Alligator mississippiensis: one gene and its partners. The protein of the gene in region 4 interacts with the protein of the main gene of each other region in a biochemical or structural test. Links are inferred from orthologs where the notes say so. Each region holds a gene or a part of one and is shown on either strand. Other genes may lie near its edges. The genes, in order: MBP, DUSP10, MEF2A and MAPK14.

What was found.
Region 1: of the proteins of MAPK14 (region 4) and MBP, one has a biochemical effect on the other in vitro, tested with the Homo sapiens proteins (4 studies listed by BioGRID). The link is inferred for Alligator mississippiensis from reciprocal best matches to the Homo sapiens genes MAPK14 and MBP.
Region 2: the proteins of MAPK14 (region 4) and DUSP10 form a complex in vitro, tested with the Homo sapiens proteins (2 studies listed by BioGRID, with this or other methods). The link is inferred for Alligator mississippiensis from reciprocal best matches to the Homo sapiens genes MAPK14 and DUSP10.
Region 3: of the proteins of MAPK14 (region 4) and MEF2A, one has a biochemical effect on the other in vitro, tested with the Homo sapiens proteins (2 studies listed by BioGRID). The link is inferred for Alligator mississippiensis from reciprocal best matches to the Homo sapiens genes MAPK14 and MEF2A.

What each region holds. Positions count from the first base shown.
Region 1 is NC_081826.1:110,529,079-110,536,206, reverse strand, and holds the start of MBP (myelin basic protein), read left to right. Parts: upstream 1-4,124; 5' UTR 4,125-4,262; intron 4,263-7,128. UniProt on the Homo sapiens protein: The classic group of MBP isoforms (isoform 4-isoform 14) are with PLP the most abundant protein components of the myelin membrane in the CNS. They have a role in both its formation and stabilization.
Region 2 is NC_081824.1:182,923,904-182,931,416, reverse strand, and holds the start of DUSP10 (dual specificity protein phosphatase 10), read right to left. Parts: upstream 3,015-7,513; 5' UTR 2,902-3,014; intron 826-2,901; 5' UTR 782-825; coding exon 1-781. UniProt on the Homo sapiens protein: Protein phosphatase involved in the inactivation of MAP kinases. Has a specificity for the MAPK11/MAPK12/MAPK13/MAPK14 subfamily. It preferably dephosphorylates p38.
Region 3 is NC_081834.1:7,960,530-7,968,089, reverse strand, and holds the start of MEF2A (myocyte-specific enhancer factor 2A), read left to right. Parts: upstream 1-4,555; 5' UTR 4,556-4,726; intron 4,727-5,103; exon of another isoform or gene 5,104-5,157; intron 5,158-7,560. UniProt on the Homo sapiens protein: Transcriptional activator which binds specifically to the MEF2 element, 5'-YTA[AT](4)TAR-3', found in numerous muscle-specific genes. Also involved in the activation of numerous growth factor- and stress-induced genes.
Region 4 is NC_081837.1:36,165,026-36,172,249, reverse strand, and holds the start of MAPK14 (mitogen-activated protein kinase 14), read left to right. Parts: upstream 1-4,223; 5' UTR 4,224-4,439; coding exon 4,440-4,555; intron 4,556-7,224. Other genes in the region: SLC26A8 (testis anion transporter 1), read right to left, coding at 1,184-1,356. UniProt on the Homo sapiens protein: Serine/threonine kinase which acts as an essential component of the MAP kinase signal transduction pathway.

The DNA of each region.
Region 1 (7,128 bases), on a different chromosome or scaffold from region 4:
GGCACTCTGTTGACCACATAGCTGTAGACCCTTCCTGGGGTCCACCAATCACTTGACAGAGCCCAAGCAGGGTGGCGCTGCACAGCCTGAAGCCCCTCCCCCCCCCACGCCCCTCATATTTCCTACCATTGCCTGAATAGTCTCAGATAGAGCTCCGCCACTCTTCATGCAGGAACAGAAATTCCCTTACCTTAACCCTATATCTTCCTCCTGCTGTCTGCTTACTCCCCTGGAAGGTGGTAGAGAATTTGCGCGGGGGGGGATTAGGGCATCCCTGTTACCACTGCAAGAGCAGGGGCTCTGGTAGTTGTACTATTGGGGTGGCAGAGGTGAAGACAGCAGTTCTTTACTGCCCCTACCATCCCTGTAAGGGAGGGGGTGCGGGGAGGGGGTGTCTGGAAATGCTGATCATGCACTGCTCACCACCTTTCTAAGCACAGAAGTGGACAGGCTGTTAACAGTTGGGCTACCCAGGGGGCAGGGAGAGCAAAACAGGGGTTTATCAACCCCTTGCTGGAGAGCTGGCCTTCATAGCTCTCCAGCCAGTGGCTTGGAACACCTGTGCATTTTTGCAGTGCTACAAAGTGCCAAGCCATTTTGTAGCACTACAACTGAACAATGGTCAATATCTTTATACATAACCATGTGAATCAGAAGCATTGCCATTGTAAGTCAGTAAAATTATCACAGGGCAAAGCTTACACGAAATCAAATTTGGCCTATGTGGTTTTCTTTGTAAGTGCAGCTTTATGTCCTTGATTTTGCATTGACAGACATTCACTGAGTGATAGTCATCAAGTCTTTCCCTCCTCCTGGCCCCTCAATTACTTTAAGATGAGAGACTATTCTTTGGTCTATAATCAGTAGCATCTCTGTGAATTTTAATTAAATCATTCTTTGAGTTTTTATGATATGTAATTAGTCATGATGAGACACATATCTGAGTTATTATTTGCCAAATAAATCTTATCACTATGGTCCTGCTGAAGAACCAGGTCAACTCTTTCTTAGTATTGTTATTACACTTTCAATTTTAGTACATTTTAGTACTTTATTTGCAAATGCCACTCTCTTTCCATTCCAATCTCTCCTTTCTTGGATTTGCACAATGGAACACTTTGTACTGGGTTGGAGTGTCTTTACTATACAGTTAATTAAGGATACTAAGCTTAGGGAACAAATAGTATTTGAAAGGCTTAATGCTATTTTTGATACTATTTTACATACAACGAGAGGAAATAAATGAGGAAATGAATCTTGCTTTGCAGACCGACCAGACACAGAACAGAGATGGCTGCTGAACACGGGTGCATTCTTTTTAGATGGAGACCTTGGAGGATTGGCAATATTGTTAGTTAAAATAATTATGTATTATAATAAGTTAAATATGATTCTGATAATATAATGGTTATTATATATTATTGTGTGATAAGACTGTAAGAGGCCTTATTACAATATGTGGACTCAGTCCTGCAAACACTCAGCTGAGATGCTTTCCTCAGGGGACTAAATCTGGGATGCTAAGGGAACTACCTATTTAGTCATTCAAGAATGAGGTCCTAAACATTTTTTTTAAATCAGTCATAAAAAAATGAAAAACACTGAAAGAAGGAGAAAGGTATCTAGGCTATAAAGTGCAAGAGAGGTACATAAGAGTGTTGTTACTGAATATGGCATGGTTTTACAACTCAGAGTGATGATAATCACCTTCAGCAAAATAAATCTCTCTTACCTGAAAGCTGGTTTATAGCATCATTCTGACTTCTCATTCCTAGGCATGTGGAACTCACTTTACATGTTTTTCCTTCTGAGGCCCTGATACAGCAAATATGCATGTTCTTCTACAACTTATCCTACAAATGACCTCACCGAGTTCAGTGAGTTTACTCAAGCACAAAATTGCACAGAAGCATGAATATTTGCAGAATTGGGACCAGATTTTATTTCCTGTGGGTTGTTTTTGAATATTGTGATTTCTGAGGCAGCAGGTTGCTGATATTTGGATCCAGTTTTGCTTAAGCCCACTTACACAACTTTTTTGTTTGTTTGTTAAAGAATCTAGAAACCTATGGAGAGTGGAGATGAGCATCCAAAATGAACATTCAATGCACTGTTACTTTTTAAAGTTGATAAACAAAGTTTGTTTGTTTTACAAAGTATAAAGTAGTAAAGAGGAAAGGATTGTTGTGGGTGATATCTTTTATTGGACCGATTGTATCTGCTTTTTCTGTGTCTGCTTTTTCCTCAGCACCCTGAGGAAGGGCACTTGGTACCCAAAACCTGTTTATATCCCTCCCAACTATATCCCTAGTTTGTCCAATAAAGATATCACCCACAAAAAACTTTACTTCTCATATTTGTCCTGGACACATGGCTACAATATCACCCTACCATAAAAAGGTAAACGCATACATAAGTTTTTGCAAGATTGTGGCCTGCCAAACCCCTTATCAACATTTTTTTATACACTCATAATATTGGAACAGGAGTCTAGTGTTGGGTTTTTTTTCCCTTTAGTCAAAGTAGTATTCTTTGGGTGCATCTACACATGCAATTAATGTGACCAATAAAACTCTGGAGCACTTCAAGCCAGAGTGAACTGCTCCTGGGCGCAGTGTCTACACATGCTCCCAGGACAGCAGCAATTTGAGCTGGGGCAAAGCAGGCCCCTGGCTGGCTGGGCTGACCCTGACAAGGGGCAATTTATACCCGCTGTCACTGTTTACATGCATTTCAGCACAGTAAAGTACACTGCCACTGTATAGTACTGTCAGGGATAGTATTATCCTACAGCAGAGTTAATTAGTTTACTGTGCCAATACTGGCACACATGTAGACTGTGGTGCTTTAGTGTGGAACTAAGTAGTCAACTCTTCAGTAAAGCACGTGTGTGGATGCACCATGCGTGATCTAAATATAAAATGCCCAGGATTTTAAACTATTAATGCTTATGACACTTCCCATTTTTTAATTCCTCCCCTACTTCCTCACAGCTCTATTGTCTGGTTCTCTGTTTTATCTTCATATTTGGTTGTAGTCTGATTAATTTTTAGCATACTCTAGGTTCCTTTTACTTGTAGTAATAAAAGGCAAAATTGTGACTCCCTTTACTCCTATTATTCACTCACAATGAGTAGTCTTGGCTTCGGTGAAAATGCGCAAGCACATATCTCATCACTGAGAGGACGGGGTTCAGTCCAATTCAGAAAGCTTTATAAAACTCCTTCTCCCCTCCCTAAACATGTGCACCTGTGTGTGTGTGCGTGCGCGCGCATGTGTATATCATAGAAGTCATGTAATTGGTAAAGGAGAATGAGTTGACCTAGTTCTTCAGCAGGACCACAGTGATAAGATGTATTTTCACAGAAGCATTAGTACTTGTTCTGTTAAACAAGATTGATAGTGATCTGTGCATGTGCGCCACTAAAAACGATGGACCTGGTGGGCTGGTCAGCTGCCCTAAGCCTCCATCTGATAAGGATAAAACCAAGAGGAAAAAAGACACCCAAAGCAGGGGAAAAAAAACCCCCAAAAAACAACCCCCCCCCAAAAAAACCACAGCCAAAGGAGTGTCACCTTGCTTTTTTTTCACAGCTGCAATTCAGAAAGAACCTCATTTGCTGCATACAGCAGAAACACATGCGAGGCGGACAGACAGGACTGCCAACCTAGAGCATGTGAAAAGGAAGTAAGGGGGGGGGTTGGCATTTAACCATTCCCAATTCAGATTTCCAAATTCTTCTCCGCCCGCACAAAGGCTGGAAGTGTAATGGGACCCTCCTGTCAGGTCTGTTCCCACGCGGGGGCAAGAAGCAGGTGCCGGGGGAACAAAACAACTCGGTGCCCGCCTGGCAAGGCATTTGCAGACTGCAAAGCAGTGAGGGGGGGCTCACCTGTTTGCGGGAGAGGTGGGAAGTCCCCTGTGGGGAGGGGAGGGGCTGCAATCCCTCAGCTATAGCAACCCCAACTCTGCCGGAGCCGGGGGGGCTCCAGCTGTGCCCCCAATCCCGCCGCCCGCGCGCGGCTGCCGCTTCCTGGTTGGGAGCGGGCGGCGGCCCCACCCTCCCGTGACACCCGCCCACGGCCGCGGGCGGACGCGCTGCAGCCGCGGGAGCAGGAAGCCGCGGCCCGGGCGCTGCTGCTGCTGCTGCCGCTGCTACCTGGGCAGCGGCGGCGCCGGGAGCCCCCTGCGCGTAGCCCGGGCGTGGCGGGACCGCGCCGCTGGATGCTGCAGGAGCCCCGAGCGAGCCCCGGCGGCCGCGGTACGGTGCGGTCTGTCTGTCTGTCAGTCTGTCCCGCCGTCGAGGCGGCCCCCCCGCCACGGCGTGTGCAAGCGTGTGTGCGTGCGTGTGTGCCAGCGCGGCCCCGGCCCCGGCCCCGGCCCCGCGCCAGCCCCCCAGGAGGCAGGTGCCGGCCCCGCGGCGGGCGAAGGACGCGGCCTTCCGGGTTCCCCGCGCTCCGCCCGCACCTGGCCGGGGCAGCGGCGCTCGGGGGCCGGGGGCGGGGTCGCTGCCAGGACTTGTCGTGGCTCTTGTCGGTGTCGCTGTTGTTCCTTGTTCAGGGCAGTTGTTGTGACAGATGCCCTGTCGTGTTTCCATCCTGGTTTCCATCGGAGTGACCAGGATGGTCACGACGCCCAGGCACTTACTGCAGAAGGTCCTCGGAATTAGGGCACGGTTGGTTCCCGAAAGCTGCGTCTTAAATGGAAACGTCGTAAGTCGGGACCGATTTTCCCGTAGGAACAATGTTATACGTTGGTGACGTGTAAGGGTGGGGCACGCAGGTGCATGTGCACCCCCTGAGCATGGCAGTGCACCCTCTGCAAAAAGTGCCGCGGATGCTGCCAGCGGCACTTGCAGGCTGTCGCTGCTCACCACCCTCCCCCCTTGCTGCCAACACCACCGGGGCATCTGCAGGCGGTTCCCGATTGCTGCTGGCTGCTGCCAAGGCTGCCAGTGGCATCTGCAGGTGCTCCTTCCTGCCACTGACATTGTTGCCACTGCCAGCAGGCAGTCGCCAGGCACCCCCAGCCTCCGGGGCATGCAGCGTTCATGGGGGGATTGGTTCCTGAACCAAGGCCTGATACCCTATTTTCACCAAAAGTAACGCAGAATTTTGTACTCTATCAATTATAGATGAGTAATATAGCTACATTAATGTATTTATATGGTACATAGCAATCATATTGATTTGGAAGGACTTCTTTGAGGTGACTTTGCCAGACTTTTTGAAGGGTTTTTGGCTGGAGTCTTCTCACAAGTCTTGACTGCAGGTTTTTCTGGAGTCTTGTCTGCTTTCTTAAAGAAAGTGCTCAAGGAAGTTTGGACAGATGTTCTCCAGGGAGATAAGCAATGCAGCAAACGCTCGCTGGTGTGGTGTGGCATCGGATGAAGCGTCGTAAAGTCGAAACTAACATCAGAAAGTCAAAACAGGGTGTCAATTTATAAACGTCCTAAGTGCCATTCATTGCAACTCGAAACTTCTTAAGCAGAGGACTGCCTGTATAGTGCTAGGACGTGGGTGTTTTAAAGAGTGATCTCTTGTGTTCAGCTATTGATGGAGCAGCAGTAGCACCTGCGTGCAGATGTAGCTACTAGCGTAGAAAAGGAAGGTGGGAAGGACCCTCAGGAGGGTGACTAGTCCACTGGTGCTCTACCTCTTTTGTACCAAGATCCAGTTGTAAACATCCATAGCCAATCCCAACCCAGTGCCCTTCATTCCCAACCTGCCGTTCCCCCGCCCCCAGTCCCCGTGCATGGGGCATAGGGGGCACAAGCAGCCCTTTGCAGGCTGGAACTCTGTCAGCCTGCAAGGGAAAAGCCCCAGTTTCCCATGTTTTTCTCCTTTAAAGGAAAATCCGTTTTTAAAGTTTGTTCGGGAACCGTTCATATATTCTTGCAACCCACTTTTAGGTCACAACCCATGGGTTGAGAAACTCTGATCTAGACCTACCCGCTGCTCCAGGCGGGACCAGCCCCAGCTAAGATCAGTACACGTCTGTATACACACATGTATGTATGCACATCTACATGCACAGTTCCATTATCTGTTTCTCTTGTTTTATCTTTATATTTGGTGTAGTTGTAGCCTGATTAAATTTTAGTGGACTCTAGGTTCCTCTTACTTGTAGTAATAAAGGGCAAAATTGTGACCCCCTTTACAAATATACACATGTTCACATGTCTAGACATGCATGTATACACACATGTATGTATCTGTGCATGCATGCACATGTATATGCGCACACACACACACACACACACACACACACACACACACACACACACACACAGAGGTGGGTCTAGAGCAGTAGTTTTCAACCTGTGGTCCATGGAGCCCTGTGGGGGGGGGGGTGGCAGACTATGTTTAGGGAGTCCACAAAAGATGTCTGTAATCAACCAAAAGGATGTACATGTTCACACTTATCATTCAGAGGGGTCTGCATCTCCATTCAAAATTTGTTAAGAGTTCACAAATGGAAAAAAAAAGGCTGAAAACCACTGCTTTAGAATTTTGAAAAGGGGGGTGCCCCCAGTGAGTGCATCATCACGCATAAAACGAGACACATTTTTCTCCAGTTAAACAGAAACTAGAAGCTTTATTGATCCACCAGGGGCCTAAGGCTGTATGATGCTGTTTAAGCTTGAAACAAAAACCAACAGAACTTAATTGGAATGAATTAAATACTATCTGCAGCTCTGTAGAGTAGAAACTTCATGACCAAGAGCAGCAAACAGACAGCACAATGGCAGAACAAAGGCTAGCTTGATTGGTGGAACATCAGGGCCATTAAAAAAGAAGGGAGGGTTCTTAACACCTGTGGAATGAAGAGTTTAGAAGGGATCAGGTACATTACAATGAGCCAGGAAGTCAAGTGACTGTTAGGACTGCCTGACTAGAAATGCTGCTGCCATTGTCAGACAGGCAGGTGGTTTTAAAGTTTGGGTGCAGCAGGAATCAAAGCGGGGTGCAAGTGCACCAGCGCAACCCATCTTTCCCTCCCCATCCACCCCTGCATATATATGTGATACACACCCACACGCCGCCATGATTCTCAACCAGGATGCGGTGGCACAGTGTAGTGCCTTGAGACCCTTTTAAAGGGTGCCTCTGGCAATATTAGGTGTG
Region 2 (7,513 bases), on a different chromosome or scaffold from region 4:
CTTCACGCTTGAGCGACTCCAGGACAATGTGGAGCGGCTGGGAAGGCATTACTCGGCTTGGCTCATTGGTATTCTCATCATAAACTATGATTTCTTTGGAAAAGATCCTCTTGAAGGAGTCCTTGCCTTCCCGACAGGAGATCAAGTCCAAGACAGTGATCTTGCCTTGTTGGAGCCTTCTTCTGCTGATCTTGTCAGAACAGTTAATATGAACGGCTCCTTGGATGTGACTTTTATTGTACTCCATGAATGGCCTGCAGTCAATGATGACAGGCCCTTGGTTCTGTTGGTGGCTCTTGGTGCATTTGGTCATCTTTTTAGCCAAGTCATTAGGATAGATTATTTTTATGCTAGCTAGTTGCTTGGTTGTGCCTGAGGCTGGGCTCCCCACACCGCCTGACGGACTCAAAGTGCCAATGTTCTCGTTATTGTTGACCATTTGGTTAGCAGGGCAAGGAGCAGAGGTTCCTACGTTGGTGGTGCTGCTGGTGCTTGCTTGAGTTTGGGCCTGATTGTCCTTATCGTACGTTGCCACAGTGCAGCAACTGGCGCTGCTGCATCCACAACTCAGGGAGCGAGCAGAGCCGTTGGATGAGGGCATATACGTGAGATTAGCCGCCTTTAGGGACACGACAGCTGTGCTGAGAAGACTTGCGTGGCTCTCACTGGCAGAGGCAGCAGATTCAAGGTAGCTAGAGTCTAAACAAAGGTTGAGATCCTGAGGTCTTACTGGCCTTGAAAGTGCCACCACTACCCTGTCGTCTAATGGAGATGGAGGCATGAGGAGGCTGAAAACTGGCAAGTCAAGAAGAACTCAAGATGTATCTGCAAGGGGAGAAAGGAAAGAGAGAGAAAGAAAAAAAAAAGATCACATGACACATACAGGGCCCAGCGATTTCGAGCAGCTAGTTCTGATAGTGATCAGCCCTGGCAAGAGTTATCAGCTCAGTGGGGCTCCCAAAGGGAACCCTATACTAATCCTGCAGCAAAAATCTCAGCTCTTTGCCTGGATGCAAAGGCGATGCAGAGCAGCCACAGGCTTAGCCAGCCTGGCTGCACCCCAGGAGGGAGCAGGCCCTTTGTGTGCACACCGAGCTGAGCTGTTCCTGGGGGCCACAAGGAACAGGCAGCTGAGTGATAAGGCTGAGTGAAGTGACTCCAGGACTCACAGAGGAAGGCACCGCAGCTCAGGCTGGCAGTGGAGGATGTGCAACTTTCCACACAGCCAAAATACAAGCAGGCTTTGCACAATCCCCTCTGAGCCCAGGCAGCCAGGAGAAGCAGAGGATGCTGTAGGTCGCGGTCCTGGAGGCAGCCTGCGCCTTGCACCCCTCTGCTCCCCTGGACAGATCCTCCAAGGTGCCTGCATGCCTTGAGAAACCCCTGGAGGCAGACTCCAGATACCAGGCTCCACACACAGCATCTCTATACCTTTAACCTCTCATCTACTGTTAACACCCCCCCCCCCAACCGACCTGCACTTGTGGGGCAGCTGAAGCCCCTGCTCCCAGTGCCTGTGACCCACAAGTGAACTGCATGCATTCAAGGGGGCGGGCACTTGGCACAGCGGTCCTTCCCTCCCAGCATTGCACTGCCCAGCTCCATGGAGTCCTGGCCCCTTGCTTCAGGTTCATGAGGCAGCAGGGAGGCCAGGAACCCCTCTTCCCTTCAAGCAAAAATCATTTCACAGGCTGCCTTGGAAGATTGTGTGTGTGTGGGGGGGGGATGCATGTGCCAATTGGGGGGGGGGGGGCTGTGGTGTGTATATGGTGCATGCCTGTGTGAAATGTGTTTCTCTGTGTGTGCCTGTGTGAAGTGTATACGCACGCCTGTGGTGTGTGCCTGTGTGAAGTGTGCGCGCGCCTGTGTGCTTGGGGGGGAGGTATCACCGTCACCCCCATCCATAAGTCAGCACTCCCCCGGCGGGGGCGGCGATCGCCCGGAGTTACCTGGACGGAACGACCCCCGCCCCCAGGACCTCCAGCACTTCACGGCTCTCCCCTCGCCCCCTCTTCAGTGGGGCTCCCCACCCCCCGCCTTGTATAACAAAGCCCTGCACATGCATACATAACACATGTAAAAAGCCCCCCGCCAAGCTACCGAATTAAAAACAACCGCCAACTTAGTTTTATTTCCAAACATGCATGAACGCGGCGAGACAGCCCCGCTCCCGCAGCGCAGTGTGCTCTGCTCCAGCCCCAGGTCGGGCAGCCCTGCCTGCGCCTCTGCAGCGGAGGGTCCTAGACACCCGGCCACGCCGTCAAGGCACAGCAGGGCACCCCGCGGCCAGGCCAAGTACCCCTCCCCGCCCACCCGGGACCTGGCACACAGGAAGGCGGCGGGGAGGGGAAGGTGGGGGGGGGGGTGAAGCAAGCAGCGACGCCCGGGGAAGTAGGCAGCACACACAGGCAGAGCTCTCCGCGTACTTTGGTCCCCGCCGCCTGACACACACTGCAGCACTCCCCTCGCCCCAGCACCGACAGGCGACACCCGGGGTCAGTCGGAAGAGACAGTCCAAAGCCCCCGCCGCTCTCGGCTCCTTCTGTCCTCCAGCACGGAGCTTGGCAGAGGCGGGGATCGATGTCCTTTCCTAGCACGGCACACAAGTCCTGCACGTACGTGTGCACACCCCCTCAACACACACACGTGTAAACATACACACACACGTTACACACATATACGAGCATACATACACACACGTCACACGTCTGCATATACACACACCGCATACCTGCATACACACACGTGTGTGCATACATGTACGTACACACACATATATACACATAAAGACACATGGATATGTGTGTATACATACACACATGTGTACATATGTGTGTCTACACACACGCAGATCCCAGTTGCCCTCCCCCGTGAGGCTAATGAAAGGCTCCTTGCACTTACTTCAGAAATCCGCCTGTCCCTGCAGCATCCGGCGCCGGCGGTAGCTAGTGACTGCGCGCTGAGCCCACCCCTGCCCTCGGCTCCATTGATCTACAGCTGCAACATAGTTACTTTCTCTTTTGCTACAGTGTAAATGTAAGGTTCGAAAGGGGCGGGGCGGGGGCGGACGAGCGGCGCCCGCGTCCAATGGGGGCCCGACACTGGTAGCGGGCGGGGCGGGGAGGGGCGGGGCCGGCCGGGCTTGGGGGCGTTCGCAGCCGCGGCTCTCTGGCCTCTAGTGTTCCAGCGCGGGGGGGCCGGGGGAGAGGGTGATGTCATTGGCAGCCAATCAAACGCTATCAAGAGCCAGCCGGAGCCAGAGAGGAGCAGCTGCTCTCTATTTACATGTGCGCGGGGCCCGGTGCGCTCGGTTCTGCCCCTGCCCGGGCCCAGCGCAGACGTTCGCGGCCCCCCCTCCCCCCGCAGGCTGCTTCTCCGCTCTGCCTCTACATCCTCACTCTATCCTTCCTCTGCCCCCTTCTCCGAGCTAGTCTCTCTCTCTCTCCCCCAGCGAAGCAGGAGTCCAGCTCCGGAGCTGGGCAAGAAGCCGGGCGGGAAGCGAGGGCCCCCTCGGAGCCAGCCCTCGGAGCTGCCGCGGTGAGTCCCGCTCCCTCCGGCCCAGGCGGCTGCGGGGAATGTCCAGCGCCGGCTCCGAGGCTGCAGGGACCCGGGCTCGCCCTGCTCGGAGGAGGCGGGAGAGAGGCAGGAGTCCCTGGGGCAGCCCTGAGGCACAGTGCACAGACCCCTGTCACCTGCTGGACACCTTCTGCTGCCCCCTCCCTGCTGCCACCAGGGTCCTTGTGTCCTGAAGGAGGCTTTAACCCTTCCCCCGGGCCCTCTTCACAGCCGGACACAGCCCAGCCTCCACCTTGCAAGGGAGCTGTAGTCTTCCGCAGCCTGAGCCCGGGGCACAACCCCTTGTTTAACCCGCACATCCAGGCCCGTGCTGAGCACCCCTGCCGTGCCCCTCCGGCTTCCACCCCCAGCACCACAGGAGGCACATAGTCCTGGTGCTAAAGCCCAGCATAACCCTCCCTTCCCCCCAGCAGTTTTCCTTAGGATTTACAAGGGCAGGCAGTAGCCTGCCTCCACCCCCAGCAGGGAGGGAGTACAATGAGCTTGGGGCCTGGCCAGGATCCTGTCTTTTTTTTTTCTCTCCCCCCACCCCCCCCCCCCCCCCCCCGGGTATTATTGTTCCAAGGCTAATAGGGACAGAGGCAATGGGATCCCAGCTGCAGTTGTTGCAGGCTGTCCTAATGCCCAGTAATAAGTTATGGGAAGAGATCAAGCCATAAGTTGAGAGATGATCTAATATTTAATAAAACTCAGTCAGACCCCTTTGGAGACCCGAATCACTGTTGGTGCTGAACAGCCTCCTAGCTGGAAAGCAGGCTTGTCAATTATTTTAAAAGGCTAGGATTTCACTTCCCCTTTCATTGGTCTCGCTAGTCACATGGCAGTGATAGTTTGATTCAGAAGAGAGGAACAACTTTCACATTCATTGTGGGATGGGGGGTTTTTTTGGTTTGTGTTTTTTTGGGGGTTTTTTTGTTGTTGTTTTGTTTTTTGATTCAGAAAGACCCAGCCCCGCTTTACAGATTTATAAGTACTGCACAGCTCCAGGAGTCACCTCACCCACCACTGGAAGACAGCCACAGGCCAGAACAGAGCACGATAGAAGTGTAACAGGGTTAAACAAGGATGGTAAGATAGGAAGCAAAGGACACGGCATGTAATTGAAGATGTGTGGGAGACACCAAAGTCAGTAGGATGTAGTTACCTGGATTGGAGTTTGCCTGAAACTGTTGAAACAAGCTACAGCAGAGTGCTGAAAGAAAAAAGCAATGCTTTCAGTGCATTTCAGTATCTCAAAAATGCTTCCAACAGTCAGCACTAGAAAATTGGTATCAGCACTAGAAAATTGCATTGCTGCCAACCACTGGGGTGCAGAGAAGGCACATTTGAAGGAGCAGCTGTGCAAGGGTCACCCCTCAAAGTCAGGTGTATTCAGTGGTGGTTGCTGTAGCCTAGTGATAGCTTCAGTCCCACCATCATCGCGTCAAAAGCATTTGTTCTGAAAGAACCTGTTCAGGAAGAAATAAGCCTTCACTAATCCAATCACTAGTGCCATTGCCAGTGGAAACAAGGGTTAGGCTGTTTGACCGTTGTATCCTCTCCCTCTATTTTGAGTTAGTTTAGTGACTAGGGTGGTAAGAATGTCCAAATTATTTCAAGATTAAGTCACAGCCACTGCTACCAGTATTGGAGCTGACTGCAGGGGAAGAGGGAAAGGCGGGGAGGGGGGAATGAAGCACCCCAGTCAACAAGCATTGTAGATGCTTATAAACTGTACACGTGCTGTAGATAGTAGTTCTAATACATGTGGCATATGCAGGCTTTTCACATCTAGGGTGGTGTATTCAAAACATCTCTATGTCCAAATTATACTTAAGCACATAAGTTTTGCAAGTGCTAGGATTAGTGTCAATAACTGGGAGAAAAATACCCATGGCAAATTGCTACTGCAGGGGTGCATATTGATGATCTGGAAAAATCAGACCACTGCCTCTTGCAAAAAGTGGTAAAGCACTGTTTATGGTCTCCCAGTAAGTCAGGAACCTAATTGTGTATCATATGCAACAGACAACATATCCAAAAGCTCATAGCTCCTAAATGCTAGGGCACTGGGTCAATGCTGCCCTAAAGAGAGAGTCACCCACTGAGGCTCCAGGAGCAAGGTGAATCAATATTCAGCAAACAAGCCAACCAACACCAAAAAGCCTTGTGTGGTACATATACTAACTAACACATGGAATGTCTCTTTTTAGATACGTTACCTAATAATCCTGTTCAAAAAAAATAATCAAGCTCTAGTACAAGCAATGTCAAGTGGAAAAGCAATAACTCCCGTGAAAGGAAGCTATAAATCATACAGAGCACAGCACAAGGTCCAAATACAGCACAGGGCATGCTAGGTCTGTAAGTTTCTGCATGCTGTACTTCCATATTAAAGAGGAGGACAGCTGCAACCTGCTCCATGTTATGGAAATTAGAATCATCCCTCAGGCTTCTGGCATGTTGCCGGTGTGTGCTCAGTTGGGCTTTGGGTTCTTCTGGCCTAAATTAGAATATCCTAGGTAAAAGGAGGACAAAGTAAGCTGCAGGAAAAAGTTTCAGAGATAAATTATCAGAGGAGAGAAAAGGATGAAAGAGAGTTAGACTTCATGGTAATATATTCAGACTCACAAGATGATATAAAAATACTGGTTTCTCTTCCTTTTTCCATGTGTACCACACAGCAAAATTAATGTCAATATCTGAGCTGCAAGGATCCTACTGATCAGGCTATGGGAGGGCATTTAGCAGTGATAAGAGTTCTTAAAATTCTCCCCCTTCCCATGCATGAAATCTTGTATTTTCTAGCTTGCAGTTAGTATGAGCAATAATATCCCACAGTGCATCATTTCACATTGGAAATACTGGATGTCTTGTTGCCACCCAGACAATCCAATGAAGTGACCGAACAATGGATCCTAAAATATCTTCACTGATCATAAAAAGTACCGAAGGATTTCCAGGTAGAACCTTCCATCTGAAGCCCTTTGATTTTTCTGGTATTAGGACAGGAATGATATTGTCAATTTGAAACACTGAATCCAAACCAATATTCTATAGGTTTTGGTTCTGGGTAGATTCTGAAGGGCCTGCTTTTCAGCTGCATTCCAGGTGTGACTTAAGATGGTAAATGTTTCCTGAGAACATTTAGTAAAGGAAAAAAAAGAATCTCTTCTCAGCAATCTGGAGCCCCCAAAATTTCACAAGAACAGGTGACAATGCTGAGCAATTAAACACGTGATTCTGTCTATCTATAAGCTTAAGACAAGCCTAGGCATAAGCAAGATCCAGATCCAAGCACCACTTCACTCTACCCCTGCTCTCTCCTGAGCCTTCAAGTTAGTGGATACATCCAGCATAGTCCTGTATTTTTACTTTTGGTTTGCAGCTCTTACAGCAGCAGTCCCATGCCACTGGGAACAAACAGCTGGTGCTTATATCAGACATCCAAAAATCTTTGCCCCTGAACTGTCAGCTTTCCACTGAGAGCAACTGCATCTGGCACTGTGTTCTAGGCAAATGCTCAGACCAAACGATTGAGAGAATAGACTAAAAATCTTTGTTTTGCATCAGAAAATGCAGCAGCCCTGTTTGGAGACAGAATGCTTTAAAAGATATAGGTTATTTATGAAAACCATTATATACAAGCATATACTACAGAGATACAGTTATAGTAATAATTCCTGTCCCATCCAAGAGGATATATTTGAAGTAGGGAGGGGAATGCTGGTGCTTTCCCAGAATTGCCATAAAGCACTGTTTGATCCTTTTGACATGGAAATGTCAGACTCCACTCAGATTTGATTTTCCTTCCCCTTTCTTGCTTAAGATCATCAGTGAACAATTGATGCTGCTGCATACTCGTCTATATTCAACTTGGCTCTGAATTATTTCTCATTAGATTGCAATGTTTATGATTTCTTTTCTTCCACAATAAACTACTGACTACAACAGATTT
Region 3 (7,560 bases), on a different chromosome or scaffold from region 4:
GCACGTGCAGACATGCCTACTGAGTAACAATGGCATGGAGTCATTCTCCATCCCGCCCTTACTTCCTTTTTTTGTAAGTTTGAGTTCTCTTCCTCACTTTGTAATGTCAAGTAATAAAGCAGTATTTCCCAGCGGGAAATACTGTGGGTAGAGTTTTTCTTTCAGCAAACATACCCTTTGTAAAAGTCCTTATTTATTATCTCTACCAATTTAGGTGAAGTTACACCAAGAATAAATTTGGCCTCTGCATTGAAGAAACCTTGTTTCATAGGTTGCGTTTATCCTCCTGTGTATCTTTCAGAACATTTTAAATTACATTTCCCCCCTGCATTGTGACAAACGCCCAAAGCCATGCACCCTTTCATTCCTCACAGTTTTGCAGTTCCTAGGTTTTGTTTTGTTTTTTAAACAAGTGACATGAGGCACGTTAATGAAGAGCTAGAAACGGAGAGGTGTTGTATGGGAATACAATACGAAGGAACTAAAATGCCACGATGTTCTAGAGATGACATAAGAGGCTGCCACAGTCATGCTTGCTTTTAGATGTGGGTCAAGGCTTAATTGGGGTTGGTGAGGATAGCTTATTTATAGGCACCCCAAACTCCTGAAAACCTCTAATGGAGTAGACCCAGGTGGACAACATTAATGGAAATTCAGCCAAAAGACTGTATCTACTTAAAATGAGGCCTGAAATTGTGTTTTTCTGTCCATGGTTTTCCTGTATGGTGTTGCTAGTTCTTTGTTCATATTTGTACATGTAGTGCAGAAATCACAATGGTCTTCAGAGTCAATGGGAGGGGTGTTTCAGCAGTTCTTCTTGGTCCATCTGTGATCTTTGATGCCACTGTCTGTCAGTTTTGGTAATCTGTGAGAGAAGCCTGGAGTGTGGTGGATGGAACTGCATTTAGTGATTCTCTCTCTCTTGACCAAAGAGTGATTGTAAGTGCTAATTCGATAATTACTCACTAGACATACAGGCACACTTTGTGATATCCTGTGAGCTTTAGTCCATTGCTCTTTCTGTGGAAAAGGTGACAGACTCTGGGGTGCTGTACAATTAGATCCAGTGGCTAAAGTTTCTCTAGTTTCCTGGTTAATGCTGAACATAAAGAAAAGGAGCAGTTCAGATTTGGTGGAGGGTAGACAACAAGGTAGTAATGTTAGGCCGGGGGTGCATGAAGAAGTGCTGGCTGGTTGATTTACCCACCATTACAAAAGAATGTGCATTTCAGATTCAGTTTCTATCTACTACTGGTTTCTTATGCGGATGCAGTAGCCAGAAGTTTTTTGTTACTATTTGCATCTGTCTAAGCAGGTTGATGTGGGTAGTGCCTTGATTATCTATGCCTTCCTCTCCTTCACTTTGGATTACTCCACTGCATTCTGCTCGGGGCTACCTTTTGAAGCCTTTCTGGAAATTAAAGTAAGCATAAAACAAGGCTTACAGCTCGCTCAGAGGTTTTAGTTTCTTTCATTTCCGTGCCTGTTGTCTCAGTATACAGCCTAAAAAAGGTTAATGGAATAAGAAATCCTCGCAGTATATCCCGAGACATCGCAAAGTGCATCTGGATGGTTATTCCAGGATTGTATCATTGATTCAATAGCCGAAAAAAGCAGTGAATTGAACTGCTCACTAAACCCTGATTAGAAGGGTGAGTACGTTCCAATCCCAGCATATTTCTGTTCTGGGATAAACATAAGCACAACTAGTCCAGGGACAAGTGCAATGTCTGTCTTTAGCCTAAAGGTCAGGGTTGTGGCAGTAGCTGTAGAAGTAAATCTTTAGGTACAGAAAAAAACATCTGTAGTTTCTGTTGGAAACTATATTTTTCATTTTTTTCCTAAATTGTTCTTTTGCGTTATGTTTTTGACACAGATGTGAGCATGTTTCAGTAGTAAACGAGAACTCCTTCTCTATATCCCTTACTTGTGATTTTCAGCTCTTGACAGGGCATATAAAGATACTTGGATAACAAATGTTGTATCTGTACCCCTAATACTGTTAGAAAGAACCAATTAGTCTTGGATTCTTTTCTATCTTTTTCACTTTGACTATGATTTCTTTTCAATGCTGAATCATATTAACGGATACATTCAGAAGCCCTTACTAAGTTATTCAAGCATACCCATTGACTACAAATCAAGGCCTGAATAAGGAATGCAAGATTTGGCCCACTGACTCTTACCATGTTCTCTTTTAAAAGGATTTCAAGGTATTAATTGCAAGTTTTTTTTTCATAAATAGTAAATACATTTTATATCTGAATTAACATTAATTACATTTGACTTTGTTACTCGTCAAGATGAACATGTTGAGAAAGATACATGACTTCCTTGCCTAAGTGTTTTCCTGATGATTATGTAAAAGTCTTCAAATATGACACTTGTATGTATTTGGCAGTTTCCTTATGTTCCCTACACAACATCCTACCATTCTCTTGATTAAACTGGAAGTAATGTTATATACCTGTTCGTTTAGCTTGCCCTCCACAATCCATGTTCCATTTTATTGGTGGTTGAGGTTACTTGACACAGTTTCACATTAATTAAATGTTCGGTAATGCTTCTGTTATAAATCCTAATCCAGGACTTTCTCCCTCTGAGCTAAAGCACACCTAATAAGACAGTTGCTATTTACAATTTTTGGGTGGGAAAGGGGGAAATTGCCGAGGTAGGTCTTGCTTTTGTTCTCCAGTGCTGCCCTGAACATACTTCCCTCATTTGCTTCTTTCCTTTTTCCTACTCTGATTAGTTATAGTTATTTAGTTAACGATAGTTAGTAATCGAAATATCCTCTCATTTTCAGTTACAAAAGAAGCACCCCTTCCCAATAGCTAATTTTTGTGACATGGCCATGATCCGGGGCTTGCTACCTTGCAATGAAGCTTCATAGGGGTGATCATTTTTGCTTCAAATCTCTTTCTTGGTAAGTAACTTCTTATCCTTTAAAAATCCTTTTAGTGTCCCTCTCTTAGCATTTTCCCTTGACAAAGATATCAAAGACAGAAAACTGATGTCATTATTTGTAAGGAACCTTTTTTTTTTGGAGAGAAAATAAATGCCAAAACATCCTTTGGTGAGGAATGGTGCATGGAAGTGAACAGCGAGGGAGGGGTCCTAGCGAAGCATTACTTACCCAAGCCAGCAAGAGGAGCGGGAGTTTACATTAACCCAGGTCTTGAGTTGTGATAAGCAAGCGACTGCTGCAAATGCTGGGTGCATTAGTTCCCTCTTTTACTGTCTTGCAGCAAAAAGGAACATTGATTATTCCCCCGCTTTTTTTCTTTTCTGTATTTGTGGCTGTGGAAAGCAGAAGTGAGTTCGTATAGCCAAGAAGGCCACGACCATTTGTATGTGGTAACTGCACAGGCCCTTGTGCACGTGGACCCTCCTTCCAGCCACCACCAACTATGAAACATGTCCTGTTATCCTCCAGCATCAGACCCAGGGAGAGGCCTTCCGCTAGTCCTAGTTAAGCAAATTTTCCTTTAGCTCAAGGGCATGCCCTTGGAGTTGAGCAGCCAGGCTCTTTCTCTAACTTCTTAGAGCCAGGCTTGGGGGGAGGGCACCATAATGAAGGGGAAACTCCTGCTGGTCCAGCTACATGTCAGCGGGGTGAAGTCCGACACAGGCCTGCACCAGCCAGGCAGCAAGAGCTCCTTAGCCAGGCCCTCCTTGTTAACCAGCCCAATTTGGCTGTTGCTGGCAATTCATTTTGCATTTTTTCCTCTTTTGCGTCCTTGCAATAAGGTCTTTAGCAGAGACTCTGACACAGCCGCACCGCACCTAAGCTCCCAGCAAATTTTTAGTATGGCCACAGACGAAAATAATACTAATTTTAACCATTTTCGGGCTGGTTTGCCCATGCCTGTGCTGGGACTTGGTACTATGGCTTCAAACGTGCAACCTTTGGGCTGTTAACCATGCACCGTGCATAGCGCTAACTGTGCATAGCGCTCACACCTTTCCATTTATTTTGCCTGGGAGCAGGTCTAAATAATACGCTTGCTCTAGGGCAGGGAGAGACAATGGGGAGATGCCAGGCTGCAGCCTCCTCCAGGGGCAAGGGCAGGGGCTGGGCTCTACCAGGCGGGAGGCACCAAGAGCGCATGCGCGAATTCCCGCCTGGTCTCCGAACCCGAGCGCTTACGTCAGCCACTGCGCGCATACGCCGTGGGAGGGAGGCGCGGAGCAGGCCTTTGGGAGAACGTAGTTCCTATTGGTCGAGGCTTTCCACCCCCTTTCTCTGATTGGCCATCCCTCGCTGTCACTCCCCGCCCATCACTTGTTTCCTAAGTGGCTGGCGCTTTCGCTTTATCCCACCCCCTCTTTCGCGGATTGGCTGCTCCCTGCCTTCACTCCCCCTCGCCGCCCTATCACGTCGCGCAGCTTTCGCATGAAGAATGTAGACCCGGCCGCTCCCTGGTACCAAACAAAATAGTGCGGGGAGGTGTGGGGCGCTGTGAATACTTATTCCCGCTCCGGCCGCTTTTAGCCGAGCGCGGAGGACCTCCTTCCGCCCTTTCCCATCCTCTGCCGCCTCGCGGAAGCGGCCTGCGCGTCCCCGAGACGGGCGGAAGGAGACACCAAGTATCCTTCCGCCGACTGTGTGTGACAGAGGAAGTAGTTCCGGCCCCGCCTGGACCCTGTTTCCCCAAAATAGGTCCCGGCGGGGATCCGTGCGCGGGCGGCAGTGTCTCCCCGGGAGTCTGGGAGCAGCCGCGCGGTGAGTGTGGGGTGTCACGGGGGGAGGGGCGAGCCCCCGCGGGGGGCCTCATCCTGCGGGGTGCTGGGGCCTGCCTGCAACTTCCTGCGCGCGCATGGAGGCGTCTGGAGCAGGCCAGTGTGGGGAGGGGGCTGGGGGGGTGGGTTTCTTTTGTGAGGGGTGGGGGCACCAACTTTTCTCCACCCAAAAAAAGGGGGGGGGTGCCTTTTTCATCCCCCGCCGTGCAGATGAGCCCGCGGGATGCCGCGTGAGGGTCATATTTCGGGGGGCGGGGGGGCGGGTAGGAGTTGTCGCCTAGTTTTCGCACCCGCTGCACGGTAACGTTTGCGAACGTGTGTGTCACCTAGAGGATCTTTTTTACCCCCCCCTGCATACAGGAGAGGTGTCCAGATTCGCCGGCCGTGCCCGGGAGCGGAGAGAAAGAGAGAGAGGTCAGCAAGGAGCCGTATTTTGGGGAGCTCCCCTCGAGCGGCTGAAAACCCCCCGTCCCGGCGTGGTTTTGACCTGCCGTGGAGAGGCGAGAAGGGCAGGGCTGGCCGCCCCGCAGGGGTTGGGCGTGCGCTCGTTTTTGTCTCGGAAAGGTGCGAGTCGCGGCACGGAAACGGGAGTTTCCCGCAGCAAACGAAGGCTCCCAGGGAGCAAAACGGTTCGTCCCGCCGCCGCCGAGCGGGGACCGACTGGGACATGTCACAAATCCCTGCCAGAAAAGGGAGATAAGGAAGAAAGCATGTCGAGAAGTAGATAGGGGTAACGGAGCAGGATAAGCCTTGAGCAGCCTGAGAGATTATTATAAACAAAGATCTGCTCTGGCACAGGAACGGGTATTGTGTACGGCTGTTATCTTTACGCTTTTTTTCTTTTTGGGTGTTTTGCTAAGCTTCTAGTACTGGCAGAAAGTGAGTCGTTGGCTTCCTGCTCTCCTTGGTTGGTGGGTATTGCACAGGAGCGCTTTCACCGCGTCGAGTCCAGCTGTGGTGCTGGGCATCTGAGCGAGCCTGTTGTTTTGCTATCGATGGCATTTTGGCAGGTGTTTAAGCAACGTGTAAAGGAGACAGAGCAATGGTCCTAACACCGATGTGCTATTTCTTTTTATGCAGCTTCATTTTAAAATGGGATCTGCAGGGTTGGGAATGCTTATTTTTATAGGTCAGATTGGTTCTCTTGCCTGCCACTGTACCAGCCTTTTAAAAAAAGAGTTATTTTGGGGGTCTGGGAGAGAGGAGTGACTTTGGTTGTTTTTTTTCAGCATGTAAATTGTAGAACATATCTAAACCTAGCATAAATTTTACACTTTTTTTTTTTTTAAACTAATACTTTTGAGACACAATATAAATTGAACAATAATACAGGCCAGTGGGGGGTTTGTGTGTGTTTTATGTGTATATGTATATATTTGTAATCTGGGGTTTCAGAATGATTTTAGACACATCATTGGTATAACTAAAATAGCAGTGTATTTAAAAATTGTTGAATCCTAAGCAGGGAACCAGAAAGGCATAAGAAGTGTGTTATGTTTGGCTCAGAACATTAGTTATTAGAAAGGGAATTAAGAGGAAAAAGAGCACCTTGGCCAAAGGGATTGAGGGAAATTAATTACGGAGAAAGTAAAAAGAAGAAAACATGCAATTAGTTAAGTAAAGATGAAGGTTTGATAAAGGGACATCAGTCTTCTGCTACTTGCAGAGTGGCGTTACCAGCTAAGTAGAAAGATCTTTTAGTGTAAAGTGATGGGTTCAATTGGGAGCAATGAGGGAAAATTTAAGATTAGACCACAATTGTGCATTTTCAGGGAGAAACAGTGTTAGTGCTCCCCAACCTTCATGGTGCCATGGGCAATGATATTAAGCAAATAATGTGCTGTGCACAACATAAATCTTTGCTCTTCCTGTCAACTTTCATGTTAACTCTTTGATTTCCTGTGCATATGAGCAGTCTTGTAGGTTTTCACAGGCTATGCAGAAATCATGGGCTAGGAACCAGGGTAGTAGGTCTTTTGGGCCATTTCCAACTTGTTGTTCCACTTAAGATAGGGGAGTAATTGGCTGTATCATTGCAATACAAGCAATTTGGTTCATATTAGAACTGTGCTTTTGCTTGTCTCTCTGCCTGCTTTAAGCATGTACCTAAATCACTATGATTCCTCACGCGCTCTTTTTATAAAGTGAGATTTAATGATTTAAAGCGTTCAGGATTGCTGGATATAAGGTGCTGTAGAATAATGGGATTACTCAAGTGTATGAGGAAGAAGGGTGAAATAATGAAAGATGTTTGTGATGCTAATGAACATTCTAGGTGAGGTGGCTTAAGAGAGGAGCTTATTATGCAAGTTCATTAAGTTATTGACCTTATTATACATTTTTAAATTTTTTGGGAAAGTATTTTTGTCTTTATTATTAAGACAAGCTGGTTTGTTGCAGCAGGATTCTTAACTTATTTAACAACTTTCTTTCAACTGTGATACTGCATTAGTTTCAAATGTGGTTTATCTTAAAACTCCAGTGTGGACAGCAGACCTCTTCTGGGTTAGTCCAGAACCAGGTTATTCAAGATTCCCATGTAGCCCTACAATAAATAAAATAAAGTTTAGTAAGCTGAGTGCTGTTTCCAAATAGTAATGCCATGCAAGTCAGTGTAAATGATGTCAGGAGTTATGTTTGCTGCCCTGCCTTGTCCAGTCATGCCATGTATTACAAAACACAGCTGGAGAATGCTGCAACAGTTATGAAAATAGTTTAGGATAGTACTGTTTAGGCTTCATAACTGTTTAAATTAAGCTTATTTGGAAAACAATTTAGCTTTTTGTTAGTAAAGATAGGGTATGAGTGTTATGTGAA
Region 4 (7,224 bases):
TTTCTCTGATGAAGATGTAGTACATCCAAATAAAGCCAGAAATTAAGTGGACATGAACATAACTCAGGGACAGCTCAAGCTAGGTGCCAGCAGCATCAAACCAAATTAAAAGGGAAACTGATAAAGTGGCTCCCAAACTTTAACTGGTTATGCTTTCCCTGATGGAAGAACAGGGGACATTCTCTGTTAAAAAACGCTGCTATCTGGTGCACGCTGTTGGGAACTCACCATAGACGGATGGTTTATAACAGGAGAGACACCCTAATCCCAAGAGCCAATGTTCCAAAGAGAATTTGTGAGGGTTCAACTTTCCCATTCTTTTCAAAGAATAAAGGGCGGGCAAATGGGTTAGAAAGAGGGTATCAAAGATACAGCCCACAGACCAAATCCAGGCCACAGAGCTGTGTCACCAAGTCCGTGTGGCTCCTGGAGAAGCCTTGTGATCTTCTCCAGGAGCCACAGATGTAGGGTAAGTGGAGGCAAGGCCCACCATAAAAATATCAGGGTATGGAGCTCTGTTGGGGATGTGTTTCAGTAAGGGCTGCATTAACCTCCCAGCTCCCTAATCTGATACAGCACTGCTCACCCCACCACTGCTTGCCCACTGCTCGCCTTGCCACTGGAGCTGGGTTCAAATCCGACCCAGAAGATTTCTTGCTGGCTGGTTCTAGCCCGAGAGGAGCCCTGCTGTCAGGATGTGGCCTGGGGGCCAAGCACGTCTGACAGTCACTCCTGGGTGAGAGCAATTTTTGTCAGTCCTGCAGGAAAGCCAGCCAGCCTCTCGGTCCTACGAAGAGGGAACCGAAAATGGTATCTGGAGAATTTAAGCAACCAAAATAGCAAAATCTACAAAGCGGAAAAGCAGACGTAACCTTGTATCTAGCAACTTGGGTGGCGGGAAGCCCTGAAACAATTGGCACGGTTCCTCCTCATCACGCACAAAACCTTGGGCTGATGACAAGTCTGAGACAGACGTTCATAATGGACAGAGACCGGCGTGGACTGTCGGCTGTAGCGCTGTGCTGAGCTTCGCCTCCCACTCCCCAGGCATGGAGCTCTGTAGCGACTATTTGATTTCAGCTGTTATTACAAACTTCTGGTTTTGCATTGACAAGTAGCAGCAGAAGGACAGCACCTGACAGAGCCCCTCAGCTTTTTCACAGATTTCCAGAAAACAACTCACCTGCATTGGACCTTCCTTCGTTGGACTTGAAAGATTTTGAAATCCCTGTTCTTGGGCAGGGGCTCGTGTCTTTCGTAGGTTCTCTCAAAGTGGTCTTCAGTGCGCAGACCCCGATTGATGTGGTAGCTCCTTGATTGCCTGTGCGGACCGAAGGGATGACTGTCTGGCTCCATCCGGTCTCGGACGTCCGAAGGCACGGGAACCCCGAATGCCGGCAAGCAAAATGAAAGCTCTCGTCTGCGATGCTAAAGAGAGGAAAGAGGGTCACGGACCTGAAATGACTCTTCAGATAGTTACACCGACTGAACCGACCGGGCGCCAGGGTCGGTAATCGACGCCCGGGGCCGCCCCACACAATCCGCAGAGTTAAATTAGGCTCTGGCAGCTGGAAATCCTCTATCTGCTAAGTGCAAGCAGCAACCCCGATGCGGCCTGCGGCACCGCCTGGTCACGTCGGGGCGGGATGCGATCCTGCTAGCCCTGCGTTGATCTCTAGGGCCTGCGAGAGCAGTGCCCCAGCCATGCCGCTGAGCCTCTCGCTCTCCTTCCCATCCCGTGAGCCCCTCCTTCCCATGGCTTTCTCCGCCTCCTTTTTTTCCTCCCTCTTTCCTCCAGGCCTCCCTCTGCCCCTCGCCCCTCAGCCGCTGGGGCCGTCCCAGGCAGGCTGCCCACCCTGCCCACGGCAGCGCAATGGCAGGCGCTGGCACGGCCGTCCCCTCAAAGCCGTGGCTCGGCCAACTGCCAGCCCGGGGGGAGGGGTGGAGGATCTTTCTGGAAGGCTCCCACCCCAGGAGGGCGCCGGGTCGGGTCCCCCTCTTGGAGGAAACTGCGGCTGATCCACCCCCGAGGGAGGGCGTCTGACTCCCCCCCCTTCCACTTCTGCCCCAGGTGGGACAAGAGCCGAGTCCCAGGTCTACCCGCTCTCCTCGACGGGCGTGCAACGCGAGGGACGGCTCCCAAGAGCCTGGAGAGGCATTGCCAAGGATCCTGCGCGGCAAACGGGAAGGTCGCGGCGCAGACGCCAGCTTCCTGGCTCCAGCCAGCGTTGCCAGCACGGCGTGAAAGCAACTTCGCCGGACTGGAAGTTGCGCACGGGTGTCCCACCCCCAAAACAAGCGCTCTGCTCCCAGCTTGAGCTCTCATGGCAGCCAGAGGAAATGTTTTGAGGACACGTTCAAGAACATGGAGGCCCACATCAAGAGCTGGGAGCTGGCTGCTAAGTGACCCCAAAGGTGCTGCAACCTCAACCAAGCGGCAGCCCGCTCGAGGTAAAGCGTCTGCCCGTCTAAGCAGAGAAGAGAGAGCGGAGACAGGAGAAGGAGAGGAGCCCCAACCTACAGCCGATTCCCCCTGAAGAAAGATCTGCAACATCGGCGGATGGGTCCCGTGGCTCCATGATTGGACTCTTAAGTCACCTGAAGACCCAGTGATGAGGCATGGTAGAGATCGGCCTCGAATCAAGGGATTGCTGCTGCTGACCATTTGAACTGCGCGGGGTAGTTAGACTTGGCTTGCGCGCACATTGCAAGTGGCAGGACAGGCGAGATCCAACCTCCTCCCTACTTATAACTTCTCAGGGGAGCAGACTTCAGTCCCACAAAGCCAAACTCTAACACCAGGGATGTGGCTTGGGTGGGATCACGATCAAATTGCGCTGGATGGGGCAAATACCACACAAATATCACTATTCCTGTCTCAGGGAGAAGCGGAGGCTTGACCTCACGCCTCAGGTGAAGTATAGCACGGTCCACGGTCCTAAATTCAAACCCCACTAAACACTGGTTATTTGTTGGTTGACCATTGCTCATCTCTTTACTTTCTTCTTCTTATTTTAATTCAGGCTCAACTTCAGCACTGCTTATTAGGACATGCTTTACTTGAAGTGCTGATTTAAAGCCAGTTGGTTTAATCTAATTACCTGAAACACATGCTTCAAGTTAAGTATATCCACATCTGCTTTGGCAGCATGCCTCGTGCAATGCGGACAAACACAGATATTCCACTTCCCTAAAATATTAATAGTGCAGAAGGTGCATGCAATGGGGGCCCAGGCCCAGGACACACTGGGAAATCCACCTGGGGGACAACTGTCATTGCAGGTCTTTCAGATGGACACTAGAGGCCAAATCGGCATTAAAAGGAAGGACATGGTCACACCAAACTGGGACTCGGGCTCTCCTAAATCTGCTTCTGTGCAAATGCGTCAGGTATCCAGTTGGTAGCTGTATTGGTCTAGAGGAAAAAGCAATCAGGGTCCGTGGACAGAAGTGATGTCTTTTATTAAGATTTTTTTTGCAAAGATCTTGTTGGTTTAATTGCAAGCTTTCAGGCACAAACACCCTTTATCAGGCATCAGAGAAACACCTTTCATACAGGCCTAAACCTGGATACCGGACGCATGGAATATGTTGAATTTTAGCTGATTTTTTAAATGAAATCTTCATATTTTCCCAAGCTGGAAGCAACTGCAACCGCCTGAAACGTGAGACCCTGCTCCTGCCTTTGTTTCAAGGTAATTCGCATCATCACAGATCCTCACAGGAGACCTGTCCTTAACAGCTATGAACCACTGCCCTGAGTTTTCCATCTATTGACCCCTCCATAAAATCCTGTGAAATACGAACTTTCATTTCTACCCGGGAGAACTTTTCCAATCTTTTCTCTGATGCCTGATGTGGGTTTGTGCCTGAAAGTTTGCAATGAAAGAACTTGCAATTAAAGTTTGCAATGAAAGTCTGCAATTAAAGATTTTTTTTTCCTTTTTTTGCAAAAAAAATCTTCTTGGTCCAATGAGAGATCGCTTCTGTCCCCTGGCCGTGACGGCTCCGTGCAAAAGCCTCAGCGAAGGTTATTCCCGCTCGGGGTTTCTTTAGCTGATTTTGCTCCTGCAACCACACGCGCCGCGGCGCCCCCCCCCCGCCCAGCTCTCGCGAGACCGCCCCCGCGCTGGTTCCATATTGGGTCATCCCCGTCCCCGCTGCCACAACTCTCGCGAGACCCACTGGAGTCTCGGCCGGGCTGTGCCACTGGCGGAGCGGGAGGGGGGCGGGGGGTGGGTGGTTACGTTGCTCCGCGGTTGCCGTCAGCGCCTGCAGCCGCCTCTACCTGCTCGAGGAGCCCCCTGCCCCCGCCTCCTGCGGCCCCCCCGCCCCGCGCGCGAGGGAGGAGCCCCCCCGCCGGCTCGGGAGGGGACGGGAGGGGGGGCCGCGCGCGGGACCCCCCCCGCCCGGCCCGGCCCGGCGCCGCCGCCGCCGCGATGTCTCAGGAGCGGCCCAAGTTCTACCGGCAGGAGCTGAACAAGACGGTGTGGGAGGTGCCCGAGCGCTACCAGAACCTGTCGCCGGTGGGCTCCGGCGCCTACGGCTCCGTGTGGTGAGTGCCCGCCAAGCTAAGCAGGGTCGGGCCCGGTGCGCGCTTGGATGGGGGACCGCGGTGGCCCAAAGGCCTCGGGCTGCGGGGACAAGGGGAGTTTGGTGCCTGAAGCATTGGGGCTGCAGAGGTCATTTAGATGCAGATCAGATCACGCCTATGCAAACTGTCCCGTGCGCTCTTCAATCCCGACAGCGTGTCCTGCTGCTGTGAAATGATGTCAGCGTGCATTTCAAACCCGGTGGTTTGAACAGCTGGGGTCAGGTAGCAGCAGAGCCTTTTAGGTGTAGAAATATTGGTAACACTGTAATGGGTTTCTCGGTGCCTGCAGTGCTCCAGCACCTGATGGGCCGGTGGGTGCAGCCAGGACGCACCTGTCACTGCATTCATGCAAAATACTCATGGTAGAAGTCAGGCTGGAGACCTCCAGAGGACTTGTCTAGTCTAACCCGCCCTGCCTGAGGCAGGGTTGTTCCTATCCAAAGCGTCCTGTGCGCCAAATCATCTTAAATACGCAACCCATGATCAGTTAATGCCAGAGCCATAGTCCCCAAATGCAAATAGAAATGATTTTCTTTTGCTGGGGTTACACGACCCCAGCAGTCTTTCCTGCCCAGATCAAGGGGCTGGACCTGATGATCGCATGATGTCCCTTCCAGCCCTAAACTTCTGTGAATCTTTACACGTTGTAGCTTTAAAAAAAAAAAAAAAAAAGCTGTCTGTTGGTTCTGTTTTTTTTGACAGCAACGTGTTCATTTGAATGATAAAACTGTCTGCAAGTTCCATTCAAATAACACCTATTTCCTAAAACTGCTGTGTCACAAGGAGATGAGTATTTGTCCCCTGCCGTGTATAAAGGAGTTAGTAGTTTGAATAACTGAATGTGCTCTTGGAACTGTTATCGTTGAAAAGCTGAGTTTAGTTGCAGCAGACCAGAGGCCTGACCTCCCTAGTTCATGAGTCCTCCTGAGGTGCTGAATGTGCTCAACCCTCTTGGATTATAATGGGGGGAAAATGAGCATGCTTCCTGACCGTCTGACTTTATTTTTAAGAACAACCCTTTCAAAATCCCTCCTCCTGTTCCAGATTGTGTTTTCCAGACTCTAAGTATTGCTTCCAAATGCTTCTTTCCACTGCTAACAACGTAAGGATTTGCATCATGAATTTCCTGTTTTGCAGTGTCAAAGCTTTCAAAGATTGTGCAACTGCCTTTCAGTAGCAGAAGAACCTATTTTTTATTGAAAGCAGTTTCAAACAGACTGGAGTCTAGTAGACATATCTACTGTGTCTTTCTGTATGTCTTATAGTAATTTTTTTCCTATAGAAAAGGGAGAAAATAGGTCTGTCCCCGCTGCTTTTTGCTGTACTTGGTTTGAATAGTGTAGTTTATCTTATAAAATTTGATGGCACTTTGCTACTAATCAAAGTTCATGTCTGTTTCTACAGACTTGCTCCTTCTTGGCTCATTTTCTTTTCCAATCTGTCATCACTACGAAGTATGTTGTATTTAAGATATAATTGGAACAGATTAAGGTTACAACAGCAAAGCCAGGAGATTCTCCTGCAGTGTTAAATTGAGGTAGTGAAATAAGCAGAATATACTAAGATATATCACTATAGGGGTATGTACCAGGGAGGATGTGAATGGGTGGGTGGGAGCTGGGGGTAGAGGGAGTTTAAACAGGAGGAATATTAAGTCTCATAGAGAGAAGACTTTTTCAAACATAAATAATTGCATCAGCAAATCATGAAGACCATATTTTCCAAAGTATAACATCATTTATTTAGGAGATGGTGCAGGTAGACATCTCAGTTGTTTTTAGGAGACAGCTTTAATTTAAGAAATGGAAATTAAGATGCAGAGATACGGGGTGGAGGCTCAAACTTTTAGGAACTGAGAAACTGATGTAGACAGAAATGTTTCTTACACTCAGCAAATAATCATTTGCTGTTGTATCTGTTGGATGGAATACATATTTCATTTGATCGTACAACAGTTTCAATATTCTTGACACAACCCTGTGGTTTAGTCTACACGAATTCATTCTGGGGTTGCTGAAGTACCTCTCTCATAAAGCCCTGACAGTTTGGAAGAGGGGATTTTGAATAACTTCCTGCAAGGTTGTAAAATGGAATTGATGCTGCTACAACACTAGTAATTTCCCTCCCATGTGGGGGAGAACTAATTGTAGATAGCATGGTTTCAATTAGTTCCAAGCTAAGAAAAGTGTGTTATAGATGTTTCAGCACTTTGAAACGGTCAGTACTCAAAACGGGTTTTGCACTAGATGGGCATAGTGTTGCACAGGCATTATGAATGCAAGGCTTTACAAGCAGTGTCTTTTTCTTGTAGTCGGCTTTTGCCCAAAGTTTTTGGGAACTTCACAGTCAAATATGTTTTAATTTGTTCTAGAATATGTCTAAAGCTTCATTCAGTTTCAGGAGGAATTTAAGCAGATGCACAAGAATCTTGTAACATGGCTCGTATATAGCATATATATCCAGATACACACAGTACAGTATTCACAGTAGTTTAGGGCTGGAAGGGACCTCATGAGATCATTGGGTCCAGCCCCCCTGCTCTGGGCAGGAAAGACTGCTGGGGTCAAGTAACCCCAGCAAGGTGTGCATCCAGTCTCCTCTTGAAGATCTCCAGGGTAGGTGCCTGCACC